4 linked regions of the Saccharomyces cerevisiae S288C genome follow. The gene in region 1 interacts genetically with each later gene. Each region holds a gene or a part of one and is shown in the gene's direction. Other genes may lie near its edges. The genes, in order: DDC1, CSM3, DCC1 and POL3.

What was found.
Region 2: mutations in DDC1 (region 1) and CSM3 together harm fitness more than expected from each alone (negative genetic interaction), as found in Saccharomyces cerevisiae (7 studies listed by BioGRID, with this or other methods).
Region 3: mutations in DDC1 (region 1) and DCC1 together harm fitness more than expected from each alone (negative genetic interaction), as found in Saccharomyces cerevisiae (5 studies listed by BioGRID, with this or other methods).
Region 4: mutations in DDC1 (region 1) and POL3 together harm fitness more than expected from each alone (negative genetic interaction), as found in Saccharomyces cerevisiae (5 studies listed by BioGRID, with this or other methods).

The regions. Positions count from the first base shown.
Region 1 is NC_001148.4:177,402-181,620, forward strand, and holds DDC1 (Ddc1p), read left to right. Parts: upstream 1-1,875; coding exon 1,876-3,714; downstream 3,715-4,219. Other genes in the region: APL5 (Apl5p), read left to right, coding at 1-1,620; RSA1 (Rsa1p), read left to right, coding at 4,002-4,219. UniProt on the Saccharomyces cerevisiae protein: Component of the checkpoint clamp complex involved in the surveillance mechanism that allows the DNA repair pathways to act to restore the integrity of the DNA prior to DNA synthesis or separation of the replicated chromosomes.
Region 2 is NC_001145.3:365,190-368,434, forward strand, and holds CSM3 (Csm3p), read left to right. Parts: upstream 1-1,791; coding exon 1,792-2,745; downstream 2,746-3,245. Other genes in the region: FG-nucleoporin NUP116, read right to left, coding at 1-1,516; ribosome biogenesis protein ERB1, read right to left, coding at 2,905-3,245. UniProt on the Saccharomyces cerevisiae protein: Forms a fork protection complex (FPC) with TOF1 which is required for chromosome segregation during meiosis and DNA damage repair. FPC coordinates leading and lagging strand synthesis and moves with the replication fork.
Region 3 is NC_001135.5:94,117-97,388, reverse strand, and holds DCC1 (Dcc1p), read left to right. Parts: upstream 1-1,625; coding exon 1,626-2,768; downstream 2,769-3,272. Other genes in the region: BUD3 (Bud3p), read right to left, coding at 1-1,108; NFS1 (cysteine desulfurase), read left to right, coding at 3,119-3,272. UniProt on the Saccharomyces cerevisiae protein: Component of the RFC-like complex CTF18-RFC which is required for efficient establishment of chromosome cohesion during S-phase and may load or unload POL30/PCNA.
Region 4 is NC_001136.10:275,222-280,752, forward strand, and holds POL3 (DNA-directed DNA polymerase delta POL3), read left to right. Parts: upstream 1-1,650; coding exon 1,651-4,944; downstream 4,945-5,531. Other genes in the region: QRI1 (UDP-N-acetylglucosamine diphosphorylase), read right to left, coding at 1-1,360; serine/threonine protein kinase DUN1, read right to left, coding at 5,086-5,531.

The DNA.
Region 1 (4,219 bases):
CAATTTGTAGATGAAGATGTGGTTATCCTACAAACTGGAAGCATCGTATACGAAAAATCAAAGAGAATTCCCATAATAATTCCAGAAAATTACAAGATAAAAATGGTGAACGTCATTATATCGATTTGTTCAGCTGACAACTATTCCAGTGTTAACGACTTTGAATGGTACAATGCAGTAATAATGGACTTGGCGATGCTCTGTCAAGACATATCTGATAAAAGCCTTGGATCAAAAATTGGTGAACAGTTTAGGAATTTGATGATAAAAGTTCCTTCAATGAGAGAAGTAACCATTGCTAATATTATAAAGCTTATTTCAAATGACAATATTAACAAACAGTTGCCTACCGTATTGAGAGAATGCATTTGGTGTCTCGGAGAATTTTCTACCCTAGTTGAAAATGGTAACGACTTAATAAAAATCATGACTGAGAATATCAGTTATTATTCTCATAGTGTACAAGAAGTTTTAATTTTAGCACTTGTTAAAGTATTTAGTAATTGGTGTAATAACTTTCAGGAGGATAAACGCTTTGAAATTAAAATGGTGTTAAAAGAGCTAATTGAATTTTTTGAAAATTTATCTTATTCGAGTACATTCGAAGTCCAGGAAAGAAGCGTAGAAGTTTTAGAATTTTTAAGACTAAGTTTGGAGGCTTTAGAGGAGGATACGGAAGGTCTACCAATGCTACTGAGCGAAGTCCTGCCTAGTTTTTTTAACGCCTATGAACTCGCACCAATTGCGCGTGGGACTCAATTGAAGTTAGCAGTAGATGAGAATCTTGATCTAGAAACTCCATTTTTGACAAAGGAGGCAGCTGATGAACTCTTAGATGAACAAAAAAGTGACGCCATCAGTGATTTAATGTCTGATATCTCAATGGACGAGCAAGTTGAACTAAAATTCGTTGATGATTCTGATACTTCGTATGAAGAAAAGGAAAAATTGGATGATTTTGAAAATCCATTTGAGATTGAGAGAGAAAAGGAACGGATGTCAAATCCTTATTATCTAGGTGAAGAAGACGAAGAAAGAACTAAGAACTCTAAAGATTTGTTGGACTTGAATGAGGAGGAAAGTAGTGATAAAAAGCCAGAAACTATTAGATTAAATAGAACCGATAATTCGTTGAATTCTCTAAGTTTATCTACAACTGAAATCAGCAGAAAGAAGAAGAAGGGAAAGAAGAAAAATAGGGTTCAAGTCTTATCCGATGAACCTGTTATCGAAGCCGCTCCCAAAAGGAAAGATGCATTCCAGAAACCCCATGATAATCATTCAACTCAAAATCCTTTGAAAAAGGACAAGATTAATCTGAGAATGCACTCTCAACTTGAAAATTTTGATTTTTCCAATTTTGGGCAATCGAGTAACGCAGGAAGAGGATCGCAGGAAGAGGGCAACCTTAGAAAGGAAGACGAGTTAGAATTAAGTCGTTTAGAGGCCAATCTTATTGTAAAAGATGAAAAGGATAATTTAAGTGATACTGAAGAAGTTATAGTTATAAAAAAGAAGAAGAAAGGGAAAAAGTCAAAGTCAAAAAACAAACTAAAAACGAAAGCAAAAAATTCTCCAGAACCAAATGAATTTCTTCGAGACCAAAGCACTGACATTTAACGATAAAAAAATCGAAGTCGTGAATTCTCAATGACAGCGATTACGTACGTAAACTATAATTAATTTAAGTATTTTATTCTGCATAGTATATTATTGCGGTGCACTCAATTTGCCGAAAGAGACGGCATATTTAATAATGACGCGAATGAATCAAAGGCCGCCAAAGGTAATCATAGACCAGAGATGATTTGCAAAATTATTTGACATACTATTGCTAGTGTAACAATAACACAGCATAACTTTGCTTAGACATATATGTCATTTAAGGCAACTATCACCGAGTCGGGGAAGCAGAATATCTGGTTTCGTGCGATATATGTGTTATCTACAATTCAGGATGATATCAAGATTACAGTGACAACAAATGAGTTAATTGCTTGGTCAATGAACGAGACAGATACTACTCTTTGTCAGGTTAGGTTTCAGAAAAGCTTTTTTGAGGAGTATGAGTTTAAACCACATGAGATTGTATTTGGAGAAAATGGGGTTCAAGTTATAGAAGATACGTACGGCAATAGTCATAAGTTATACTCCTTCCGTGTTAATGGAAGACACCTAACAACTATATCAAGAAAGCCGGATGGTGATGGCATCAAATCATTCACAATTGCGGTAAACAACACTTCTACCTGTCCTGAATCACTTGCAAATAGATTGATTGTGGTGATTGAAATGGATTCGTTAATAGTCAAAGAATACTGTCCCCAATTCCAGCCAATAAAATACGATCCCATAATAATCAACCTTAAGTACAAAAGGAGGTTTTTGGATGTTTTTGGAACTGCTGCCTCCGATCGGAATCCACAGGAGCCCTTGGACCCTAAGCTATTGGACGTTTTTACAAATACAGAGCGTGAGCTAACATCAGCCTTATTTAACGAAGAAGTGGAATCAGACATACGTAAAAGGAATCAGTTAACGGCTGCTGATGAGATTAATTACATTTGTTGTAATTCAACTTTATTGAAGAATTTTTTAGACAACTGCAATGTTAATGTAACCGATGAAGTAAAATTGGAAATTAACGTACATAGGCTAAGCATAACTGCATTCACCAAGGCCGTCTACGGCAAAAATAACGACCTTTTAAGAAATGCGTTAAGCATGAGTAACACTATCAGTACGCTCGATCTTGAGCATTATTGCTTATTTACAACAATCGAAGATGAAAAACAAGATAAGCGATCACATAGTAAGCGTAGAGAGCATATGAAAAGTATAATATTCAAATTGAAGGACTTCAAAAACTTCATAACGATAGGTCCATCCTGGAAGACTACCCAGGACGGAAATGATAATATAAGTTTATGGTTTTGCCACCCAGGGGACCCTATTCTTATGCAAATGCAAAAACCGGGCGTAAAATTAGAATTGGTTGAAGTTACTGACAGTAACATTAACGATGATATTTTAGAAGGAAAATTCATAAAAACAGCAATCTCTGGCTCCAAAGAAGAGGCCGGACTGAAAGACAACAAAGAAAGCTGCGAAAGTCCATTAAAAAGCAAAACTGCTTTAAAGAGAGAAAACCTGCCACACTCTGTGGCTGGAACTCGAAACAGTCCTTTGAAAGTGTCGTATCTGACCCCTGATAATGGAAGCACAGTTGCTAAGACCTATAGAAATAACACGGCAAGAAAATTATTCGTGGAAGAACAAAGCCAAAGTACGAATTACGAACAAGATAAGCGGTTCCGGCAGGCTAGTTCAGTTCATATGAACATGAATCGGGAACAAAGTTTTGACATTGGTACGACTCATGAAGTGGCCTGTCCACGTAATGAGAGCAATTCTTTAAAAAGATCCATAGCAGATATTTGTAATGAAACTGAAGACCCCACCCAACAATCTACATTTGCAAAAAGGGCAGACACCACTGTGACATGGGGAAAAGCGTTACCAGCTGCAGATGATGAGGTTTCATGCAGCAATATCGATAGAAAAGGAATGCTCAAGAAAGAAAAATTGAAGCATATGCAAGGTCTGTTGAATTCCCAGAATGACACAAGTAATCACAAGAAACAGGACAATAAAGAGATGGAAGATGGGCTGGGTCTAACACAAGTAGAAAAGCCAAGGGGTATATTTGACTAAAACCATAATGCAAAATCAGTATAAAGGCGTGTAAATATTAGATGAAGTAGCAATTATCATGATAATATCGATCGCTGTTTTTTTTTTTTTTTCTGTCTCAATTTGGTGAGCGTGCGGCTGATGGTCCATCACGGTCGGGGAACAAACTAAAATTTTCAATAGCATAATATCTCTATATTGCATAGCTTTTTACTTAATAGGAACTTAAAAATTTCATTGATGCTATTATATTTAACTCATAAGTCAATCTCTTTTTCCATTTTGATTAGCTTATTGCGACATGGACTATGAATTATAATAACTTTGAAAATTCGAAGGGTGATGGACATTCTAGGCTTCCCAAACCTACATACTCCGGAACGCTATCAGATGGCTATGATGAATCGAAAATTAAAAGGCAAAAAACAGACTCTGCTTTTAATGCAGCTTACTCACCTCATATGTATCCGAACTCTCCGTATTATGAAGGTTCATGGAATACCGGTTATACTCCTCAACTTCATCA
Region 2 (3,245 bases), on another chromosome or scaffold:
TATTTTGATTGGTCTGGCCAAACAATCCACCAGGTTGGGACTGCGACTGGTTGTTTTGTTGTCCGAATAATCCCCCGGTTGATTGCTGTTGTTGGTTATTTTGCCCAAATATAGAATTATTTTGGGCATTACCAGACGCAAAAGTGGATGCTCCCTGCTGTTGTCCAAACAGTCCTCCTGCAGGTTTGCTTCCAAATAATCCGCCTTGTTGCTGTGGCTGGCCAAATGCGTTTGAGGAGTTTTGTTGTCCAAATAATCCGGATTGGTTCTGGCTTTGGTTATTCTGACCGAACAATCCTCCAGCGTTGGAATTTTGTTGCTGGCCAAATAACCCTCCTCCACTTTGCTGCTGATTGGTTTGCCCAAATAAGCCACCAGTGGTACCAGTGGGGTTGGTATTCATTCCGAATGCTTTTGAACCAGCAGATTGTCCAAATAGTCCACCAGAAGCAGGTTTAGCTCCAAAAAGAGCACCAGTGCCTTGCTGTTGGCCGAAAGCGCCACCATTTGCGTTAGCGTTTGATTGACCAAATATACCACCACTACCTTGTTGTGTTTGTTGTTGGGGAAAGGCACCACGATTCACCTGACCAAAGGCTCCCCCGTTACTGACATTATTCGCCCCAAATGAATTTTGCTGTTGACCAAATAATCCTCCGTTTGTATTTGAGTTCTGCTGGCCGAAAAGGCCTGTATTATTAGTGCCGTTTGTTGGGTTGTTAGTTGTATTACCAAACAATCCCCCGGAAGTGGCAGGTTTATTTGCTCCAAATGCAGAATTTCCTGAGAGGTTAGTAGAGCTTCCAAACAATCCTGTAGAGTTGGTCGCTCCAGAGCCAAAGCCACCACCACTTCCAGTTCCGGTTCCAAACATGCCTGTTGCTGGCTTTTGACCAAATAATCCTCCTGTTGTAGCAGAAGTAGTGGAGTTATTATTACCCATAATTCCAAATCCAGTATTGGTAGTTCCTTGAGGATTGTTAAAAGTAGTACCAGTGCCATTTTGACTGGTACCGAATTTTCTACCAGCTTGGTAATCTTGAAATCTCAATTCTTCAAAAGAAAAATTTCTGTATTCAGGCATACAGGTGATACTTTGGAAGACGTTGATGACACCTGTGGTTGGATCCTTCTCTTCGAATGTAGTAAAAGGTTTAATGCTTGTACCTGCAGTAGAATTGGGCACAACAGAAGCGGAACCAGCAGAAAGTGCTGTGTTATTACCCATTCCACCGAAGATCGAGCCAGAGGCATTGTTGTTCGTCAATTGACTTTGACCAAAAGGAGTACCATTTGCTGTAGTCGAGCCTGACATTCCGAAGGGAGAATTAGAAGTTTGGTTACCAAAGTTACCAAACGCAGGTGCTTGTGTTGTATTTGTTTGCTGACTGAGGCCGAAAGCAGAAGTGTTTGCTACTGGTTGTTGTTGTTGCTGTTGGCCACCAAAGGTTGATCCTGTTGAGCCAAATGGCTGTGTTGTTGCGCTGGGGAATGCGCCACGGCTAACTCCAAACATAATAATGTTTTAAAAAAGAAATCTTCGAAGCTGAATGGTGCCTCTCAGTTGCCGGGATCTCTATGCAATGCTGATAGTTTCCTTTGCGACCTTATGACACTTTATTAACTCTAAGTATAATTTAGTTTTGTTCTTTTTCTAATGAGCATGGTAAGGAAAAATGCCGGGTAATGATAATCTGCAAAAGTGACAATAATAAACTGACGCGTAACAAGATCAATGATATACTGGATTAAAATGCCATGAAAACGTGAACAGAAACTTTTATTGAGGTCATGGATCAAGATTTTGACAGTTTATTACTAGGTTTCAATGACTCCGATAGTGTCCAAAAAGACCCAACTGTACCAAATGGCTTGGATGGTTCAGTAGTTGATCCTACCATTGCGGATCCAACCGCAATTACAGCTAGAAAGAGAAGGCCTCAAGTAAAATTAACAGCCGAAAAACTACTCAGTGATAAAGGTTTACCATATGTTTTGAAAAATGCACATAAAAGGATACGAATTTCCTCAAAAAAAAACTCATATGACAACTTATCAAATATTATTCAGTTTTACCAGCTTTGGGCACATGAATTGTTTCCCAAGGCAAAATTTAAGGATTTTATGAAGATCTGTCAAACAGTAGGTAAAACAGATCCAGTTCTTAGAGAATATAGAGTCAGCCTTTTTAGGGACGAGATGGGCATGAGTTTCGATGTTGGCACACGGGAGACTGGGCAAGACCTGGAAAGACAATCACCTATGGTTGAAGAACATGTCACTTCCGCGGAAGAGAGGCCTATTGTCGCAGATAGTTTTGCGCAAGACAAAAGGAATGTAAACAATGTCGATTACGATAATGACGAAGATGACGATATCTATCACCTTTCTTATCGCAACAGAAGAGGACGAGTTTTGGACGAACGTGGGAATAATGAAACGGTACTTAACAACGTTGTGCCGCCTAAGGAAGATTTGGATGCATTATTGAAGACATTCAGGGTACAAGGGCCCGTTGGCCTTGAAGAAAATGAGAAGAAGCTCTTATTAGGATGGCTAGATGCGCATAGAAAAATGGAAAAAGGCTCTATGACTGAAGAAGACGTTCAACTGATTCAAAGTTTGGAAGAGTGGGAAATGAATGATATAGAGGGACAACATACTCATTATGATTTATTGCCAGGGGGAGATGAGTTTGGCGTAGATCAAGATGAGTTGGATGCTATGAAGGAAATGGGCTTTTAGCAATGTCATTGAAGGTAATAATCCAAACGTGCGTGTGGGCATCTATACATATAGGTTTATATATATTGTGTAAATAAAGCTTGTAGAAAGAGCCTGGTTCGAGTGTTTGATTTTTTCTTCTTGGGCGTTATTATACAATATCTACTTCAAATTATTTATCTAGGTGGTCCATAAGCGAGCCGTATTATCAGCACCGGCAGAAAACAGCCAAGCTTCCCTCGGATGCCAAATAGCATCAAGAACACCCAGACTATTGATTACTTTATGACCGGTTAGTTTCTTTAGTGGCACAATCATCGGATTTTTCATCATGTCATCATAAACAGTGGCATGGAAAACATGTATGGTACCGTCATCAGCGGCAGAGCTGAATAGAGGTAACTTTTTGTGGAAATTCACACTTCTGACGGCTTTTTCATGATATCTTAGTGTCTTGTAAGGTGTGCTAGCCAAATCCAGGTCGTGCCATAAAACTCTCTTGTCAAACGATGACGCAATTA
Region 3 (3,272 bases), on another chromosome or scaffold:
TATCTTTGCTGAAGTTCTTTGTGGCCGCCTCGTGTCTTGTATATGCTTTGTAGAAATAAGGAATAGTAATGCTGCATGCCTTCAGTACTTCGAGGGAACCGTAAGGGATTGCTGTCTTTAGCGAGTCTAGAAAAATACAATTGATTCTTGTGACTTCATCTATTGTAGGTGGGAAGAGTCGATTTAATTTGGTTGTGGATAACCCATTAATTTCTTCATTGAGTACTCTGACTCTCAAGGCGATCAGGAATTTTTGCAAAAATTCTACCAAATTGAAAGTAAAATTTGTTTGTAGTTGTAATAACTCGTTGCAAATGGCCTTGACAAGATCATCATCCGATTCTGTGGGTAATTCGTCCTCTGGCGCCTTATAACCATATTCTGTCTGTTCCGGTGAGTATTCTGTGACTGGGTTAAAAAGTTGTTCAAGTTGTTCACCCAGATGGAATACCAACCTATTATTTAGTTCGATGGTGGATTCATTGTTTTCATAAATAACATCTAACAGGGTAGAGCTGACAAATCTATTTTGCAGAAGTCCTGATGTAAAGAAGCGCTTCCCCAGATCTTCTGGAGGAACTGCTGTTATCAACTGGCAACTACTAGCCAAATCTCCAGCATAAGGGGGGTCATAGTCGCAATTTTCCGATTTATTGGACAATATTTGTGATAAGTCTGATGGTGAAAGTAATGGATAGCGCTGTAACAGAATGACAGCAATGCATTTCTTAACATTGCTTTCCTGATCACTTGGACTCAAATTCTCAATGGCCGGATAGTATTGCGAGTTGGAAGATATATCGACGGATTCGAAGCATGATGTTCCTAATTTGTCGAATATTATAGCGTTCAACTTATTGCTGTTGGGGGACTTGTACACGCAGACAAAGAACTTCCCCCATATCAAGTCATCTGACCCGTGATAGAATACTGATTGAGTGAACACATTATCCGTCCAGTCTGAAAGTGATTTATCATCATCAAACAATGAATGACCATTTAGCGGTGTGGTCTCGACAACAGATTTGGATAGTTTGATGTTAAATAAGGTTTCATCGTTCTCTTTGTCTTTCTTTTCAGAGTAAAGAGACGACAGGTCTTTCTCCATTGGTGAGGTGTAAATATACTCTTTTAGCAACCAGATAACAGCCCGAACACGTAATGAGTAGCAGGTAGCAGCAGTAGAATGCGAGTACAGACAAACTAGTGTTGTTTTTACTATCCGCAGTGAGAGAAATCTTCCTCATTGAAGATCAAAGCCTTTGTTTACCATTGTTTTTATTTACCTTTTTAGAATTGTTCGAACAAAACCCTAGGTCTTGGCAACTGGCAATCGCTCAACATGACCTAATTTATAGCTTAGGGTTCTTTTTTGTCAATTCTATGCGTATGACAAAGAGCACCACGATGGTGATCGAAATCTCTAGGAGTAGCATACCACAGCGATATTATTTAGTAGTAGGCGGTTTATTATCTTTGTCCCTTTATACTGTTGTGTTTCTTGCTTATTGCTTCAGTAGGCAGCGTATAGTATAACCAGAAAAAAGTGAAAAATAAACTAAAAAAGCACTATGAGATGAACGGTAAAAATCCACCAGAGATTTGCTCACTAATAATCCTGTACCATGTCCATCAACCTACATTCCGCACCCGAGTATGATCCATCTTATAAGCTGATCCAGTTGACACCAGAGTTACTGGATATAATACAGGATCCGGTTCAAAATCACCAGTTAAGGTTTAAGTCATTGGACAAAGACAAGTCTGAAGTTGTACTGTGTTCGCACGACAAGACTTGGGTGCTGAAGCAGCGCAAACATTCAAACACAGTTCTACTAATGAGAGAATTTGTTCCTGAACAACCTATTACTTTCGACGAAACGCTCTTGTTTGGACTGTCCAAGCCGTACATGGACGTCGTGGGATTCGCCAAGACTGAATCAGAATTTGAGACCAGAGAGACACATGGCGAATTGAACTTGAATTCAGTACCAATATACAACGGAGAACTGGATTTCTCCGACAAAATCATGAAGAGGTCATCTACAAAGGTTATCGGGACCCTGGAAGAACTACTTGAGAACTCACCATGTTCTGCGCTAGAAGGTATATCAAAATGGCATAAGATTGGTGGATCTGTGAAAGACGGTGTGTTGTGTATTCTTTCACAAGACTTCCTTTTCAAAGCACTGCATGTACTACTGATGAGCGCAATGGCAGAATCACTCGATCTACAGCATCTGAATGTTGAGGATACACATCACGCTGTGGGGAAGGACATTGAGGACGAGTTCAATCCATACACAAGAGAAATCATTGAAACAGTGCTGAATAAATTTGCTGTTCAAGAGCAAGAGGCTGAAAACAATACGTGGCGCTTGAGAATACCGTTTATAGCTCAGTGGTACGGGATTCAAGCGCTAAGGAAATATGTTTCTGGAATAAGCATGCCAATTGATGAGTTCCTCATCAAGTGGAAGTCCCTTTTCCCACCTTTCTTCCCATGTGACATTGACATTGACATGCTGCGAGGCTATCATTTCAAGCCTACCGATAAGACTGTCCAGTATATAGCGAAAAGCACACTACCAATGGACCCCAAAGAACGGTTTAAAGTCCTGTTTAGGCTACAGTCACAGTGGGACTTGGAGGATATCAAGCCTCTAATTGAAGAACTAAATTCAAGAGGTATGAAAATAGACAGTTTCATCATGAAGTATGCCCGCCGTAAAAGACTGGGCAAAAAGACCGTGGTCACGAGCAGGTAGCACACAAAACTGCCTTCGATGGGCAATGCGAATATATAGCGGAACCACTAAAGTAATAGTGGATGACGTGAATAGCAACAAATATCTATCATAGTAGCTTTATATATTTATATATATTACAATACTATTATGCACCCTATTACCCGCAATAGTTGATAGTGACCTACCAATTTTAGATACGGTCGCTGACAAATAGTAAGGCCATCGCCCAGGGATATATGATGACTATCTAAGTAACTCACTCAGAGTAAAGACCGACAGAGTTCATTAGTGTGTTATATTTTCTATTTCAGATACATCATTTTCATTAAAATATATCGCATACACGAAGGAACTGCTACAACTGGAAGATGTTGAAATCAACTGCTACAAGATCGATAACAAGATTATCTCAAGTTTACAACGTTCCAGCGGCCACATATAGGGCTTGTTTGGTAAGCAGGAGATTCTATTCCCCTCCTGCAGCAGGCGTGAAGTTAGACGACAACTTCTCTCTGGAAACGC
Region 4 (5,531 bases), on another chromosome or scaffold:
TCAATTTGCTGGAAACTTCGACTAGTACCCCATCTTTTACAATAGCGCCTGCATCTTCCAACCACGAGGTTCCTAGTTTCAAATATGCTAGTCTGCTGGTCTCAGGATTATCGTTCTTAGAACCAGGACCGTTTTTTAAAGGTGAAAATTCTTTGCATCTATCTACTTCTAAGCACCCAAACTTGTTCAGTGGTACAGTGTCAAAGACATCAAATATGAATTGCTCTAATTTTATACCGTTTGGTTCGGTAGGCTTAGTGTACTTGCCGGTAACACTATCATAAGCTGGAATTTTCTTCTTCGCAATGTGATATGGCATATTCTCACACCACTGATCCAAATCACGTTTTAGTAAATCCACTAGGTAATAATGATTTACAATGTTGCCTGCGCGTAGTTTTAATAAGCCATCTTTATCCTTTGCTTCAGCCAATTCATTGGAAATTTCAGAATATTCTATGACACATGGTTTCTCGTTTTTAGTAGCAATTAACCCAACTGATTCATGCGCATCTCTCTTTCTAACGGCTTTGGTGGCCAGTTCGAAGCCATGCTTGATGGCAAAACCAATAAATACAGGGTCTGCGATTTTAGATAGGACATTATCGACACAGTACATGTAAACATGCTTGATTCCTCTCCTATCAAAGTCTTCGTTCAACTTGTTTTCCTTGATGGCACGGTAGAGTCCACCATTTCCATCTGGTGATTGAGATAGGTTTACTGGGTCTTTCATTAGGAAATGCTTCCCGGTTAAATCAAAGGCAGGCAGGGTTCCCTGGTTGAAGAACGTAATTTGTTCTTTATTCAAGCCAAAATAATTGTGTTCTTGAAAGTATGCCTCAGTAGCCGCTCTAGTGGGGCCTGATGTCATAATATACCAAGGAATTTCTACCTTTTTGTCCTTTACCATATCTTGCAACCTGATCAACTTTTCAGCTTGAATTTGAAAAAGAGATTTCTTAGAAGGCAATCCAATGTCGTAACAGCCCTTTGGTTGAGAGGATCCTAACCGCGTACCTTGTCCGCCAGCCATTAAAATCACTGCGACTTCACCCTTGCCAATAGCTTCAAGGCCTAAACGCCAGTATTCATTTTCTTTCTTACTGTTGCCAATAAGCGACTCGTACGAAGTAGGGGGCAATGGTGAAATTTCGACGCCAGTATCCTTAGAAGAGTTAGCTAGTGAGAATTTAATAGCATTTTGACAGTCTTCCAGTAGTTTTGCAGGGGACCTCTTGGAAGATATTTGCTCCAGGTTTGAAAGCAATTCTTCTTGGTCTTTGCGAGACAAGCTTTCCCAATTGTGGAAAAGTTGACTTTGTCCGGCTTCAATGAATAGCTGTTTTGTGTCAGTCATAGTTGCAGTTCGATCTGGTGTTCTCCTTTATATCTGCGTTTCTTTGCAGCGTTCTTGCTTGACGGTTGATCTTGGTTTTGTGTGGTAAAAGTATGCCTTAACGTAATAGGCAATTTTTCGTATTACGCGTAACTTTTTATTCTATAAAATGTTCAATGAGGACATCTGCTATTCGCTTATGAAGAACAAACACTCAGTACTACTGATCTAAGGCAATTTTCAAGGATAAAGGAAAATAGATATTGAGCACTTGCTATTAAGCATTAATCTTTATACATATACGCACAGCAATGAGTGAAAAAAGATCCCTTCCCATGGTTGATGTGAAGATCGATGACGAGGATACTCCCCAGTTGGAAAAGAAAATCAAACGGCAATCAATAGATCATGGTGTTGGAAGTGAACCTGTTTCAACAATAGAGATTATTCCGAGTGATTCTTTTCGAAAATATAATAGTCAAGGCTTCAAAGCAAAGGATACAGATTTAATGGGTACGCAATTAGAGTCTACTTTTGAACAAGAGCTATCGCAAATGGAACATGATATGGCCGACCAAGAAGAGCATGACCTGTCATCATTCGAGCGTAAGAAACTTCCAACCGATTTTGACCCAAGTTTGTATGATATTTCTTTCCAACAAATTGATGCGGAACAGAGCGTACTGAATGGTATCAAAGATGAAAATACATCTACCGTGGTAAGGTTTTTTGGTGTCACTAGTGAAGGACACTCTGTACTTTGTAATGTTACAGGGTTCAAGAACTATCTTTACGTCCCAGCGCCCAATTCTTCCGACGCTAACGATCAGGAGCAAATCAACAAGTTTGTGCACTATTTAAACGAAACATTTGACCACGCTATTGATTCGATTGAAGTTGTATCTAAACAGTCTATCTGGGGTTATTCCGGAGATACCAAATTACCATTCTGGAAAATATACGTCACCTATCCGCATATGGTCAACAAACTGCGTACTGCGTTTGAAAGAGGTCATCTTTCATTCAACTCGTGGTTTTCTAACGGCACGACTACTTATGATAACATTGCCTACACTTTAAGGTTAATGGTAGATTGTGGAATTGTCGGTATGTCCTGGATAACATTACCAAAAGGAAAGTATTCGATGATTGAGCCTAATAACAGAGTTTCCTCTTGTCAGTTGGAAGTTTCAATTAATTATCGTAACCTAATAGCACATCCTGCTGAGGGTGATTGGTCTCATACAGCTCCATTGCGTATCATGTCCTTTGATATCGAGTGTGCTGGTAGGATTGGCGTCTTTCCGGAACCTGAATACGATCCCGTCATCCAAATTGCCAACGTTGTGAGTATTGCTGGCGCTAAGAAACCATTCATTCGTAATGTGTTTACTCTGAATACATGCTCACCCATAACAGGTTCAATGATTTTTTCCCACGCCACTGAAGAGGAAATGTTGAGCAATTGGCGTAACTTTATCATCAAAGTTGATCCTGATGTTATCATTGGTTATAATACTACAAATTTTGATATCCCTTATCTTTTAAACCGTGCAAAGGCGCTAAAGGTGAATGATTTCCCATATTTTGGAAGGTTAAAAACCGTTAAGCAAGAAATTAAAGAGTCTGTGTTCTCTTCGAAGGCTTATGGTACAAGAGAAACCAAAAATGTCAATATTGACGGCCGATTACAGTTGGATCTTTTGCAATTTATTCAGCGTGAGTATAAACTAAGATCCTACACGTTGAATGCAGTCTCTGCGCACTTTTTAGGTGAACAGAAGGAGGATGTACATTATAGCATCATTTCTGATCTACAAAATGGCGATAGTGAAACAAGAAGAAGGTTGGCCGTTTACTGTTTGAAAGACGCCTACCTGCCTTTAAGGCTTATGGAAAAACTAATGGCGTTAGTTAACTATACAGAAATGGCTCGTGTTACAGGTGTGCCATTTTCATATTTACTAGCTCGTGGTCAACAAATTAAAGTTGTTTCTCAACTATTTCGAAAGTGCCTGGAGATTGATACTGTGATACCTAACATGCAATCTCAGGCCTCTGATGACCAATATGAGGGTGCCACTGTTATTGAGCCTATTCGTGGTTATTACGATGTACCGATTGCAACTTTGGATTTCAATTCTTTATATCCAAGTATTATGATGGCGCACAACCTATGTTATACAACACTTTGTAACAAAGCTACTGTAGAGAGATTGAATCTTAAAATTGACGAAGACTACGTCATAACACCTAATGGAGATTATTTTGTTACCACAAAAAGAAGGCGTGGTATATTACCAATTATTCTGGATGAATTAATAAGTGCTAGAAAACGCGCTAAAAAAGATCTGAGAGATGAGAAGGATCCATTCAAAAGAGATGTTTTAAATGGTAGACAATTGGCTTTGAAGATTTCAGCTAACTCTGTCTATGGTTTTACAGGAGCGACGGTGGGTAAATTGCCATGTTTAGCCATTTCTTCATCTGTTACTGCTTATGGTCGTACCATGATTTTAAAAACTAAAACCGCAGTCCAAGAAAAATATTGTATAAAGAATGGTTATAAGCACGATGCCGTTGTGGTTTACGGTGACACTGATTCCGTTATGGTAAAGTTTGGTACAACAGATTTAAAGGAAGCTATGGATCTTGGTACCGAAGCTGCCAAATATGTCTCCACTCTATTCAAACATCCGATTAACTTAGAATTTGAAAAAGCATACTTCCCTTACCTTTTGATAAATAAAAAGCGTTATGCAGGTTTATTCTGGACTAATCCTGACAAGTTTGACAAGTTGGACCAAAAAGGCCTTGCTTCTGTCCGTCGTGATTCCTGTTCCTTGGTTTCTATTGTTATGAATAAAGTTTTAAAGAAAATTTTAATTGAAAGAAATGTAGATGGTGCTTTAGCTTTTGTCAGAGAAACTATCAATGATATTCTGCATAATAGAGTAGATATTTCAAAGTTGATTATATCAAAGACGTTAGCCCCAAATTACACAAATCCACAGCCGCACGCCGTTTTGGCTGAACGTATGAAGAGGAGAGAGGGCGTTGGTCCAAATGTTGGTGATCGTGTGGACTATGTCATTATCGGTGGTAATGATAAACTTTACAATAGAGCAGAAGATCCATTATTTGTACTAGAAAACAATATTCAAGTGGATTCGCGCTATTATTTAACTAATCAATTACAAAATCCAATCATTAGTATTGTTGCACCTATTATTGGCGACAAACAGGCGAACGGTATGTTCGTTGTGAAATCCATTAAAATTAACACAGGCTCTCAAAAAGGAGGCTTGATGAGCTTTATTAAAAAAGTTGAGGCTTGTAAAAGTTGTAAAGGTCCGTTGAGGAAAGGTGAAGGCCCTCTTTGTTCAAACTGTCTAGCAAGGTCTGGAGAATTATACATAAAGGCATTATACGATGTCAGAGATTTAGAGGAAAAATACTCAAGATTATGGACACAATGCCAAAGGTGCGCTGGTAACTTACATAGTGAAGTTTTGTGTTCAAATAAGAACTGTGACATTTTTTATATGCGGGTTAAGGTTAAAAAAGAGCTGCAGGAGAAAGTAGAACAATTAAGCAAATGGTAAAAAACGATAGGGTGGCACATCATATTAGGATTAAGAAAGGCTAACAACTTTTTGCATGTTGGTGGATATATATGTATATATAAATAGATACTTGGAAAAATCCAGATTCAAACAATGTTTTTGAAATAATGCTTCTCATGTTTAGAGGCAAGATAATTCTGAGTATGTTTTGGGTATTTTATTGTCAGTAATTTGTAAACGCTGCAATTCTAATGAGACCGAGCTTTGTTGCTGTATGTCATTGAACCAAGGGTGGTTCAAAGCTTCATCTATATTGTACCTTTCATCAGGATTTAGGACCAAAAGATTGGATATTAAATGTAGTACTGAGTCATCGATTTTATCCCAGTACGGAGAGTAAAACGCATACTTAGCTTGTAAGATCTGTTCCTTCAATGAAGGTGGCCCCAATTGATCACTGAATGGAGGAAAACCACATAAACAGACATATAATATGACACCAGCACTCCAAAGATCTACTTTTGATGTGTATCCTTTCTTTGTGAGGACTTCGGGCGCTACATAAGAAGGCGTACCACAAAGTGTGTTTGTGAATTGCATTTCTCCTGTAAATTTTGCTAGGCCAA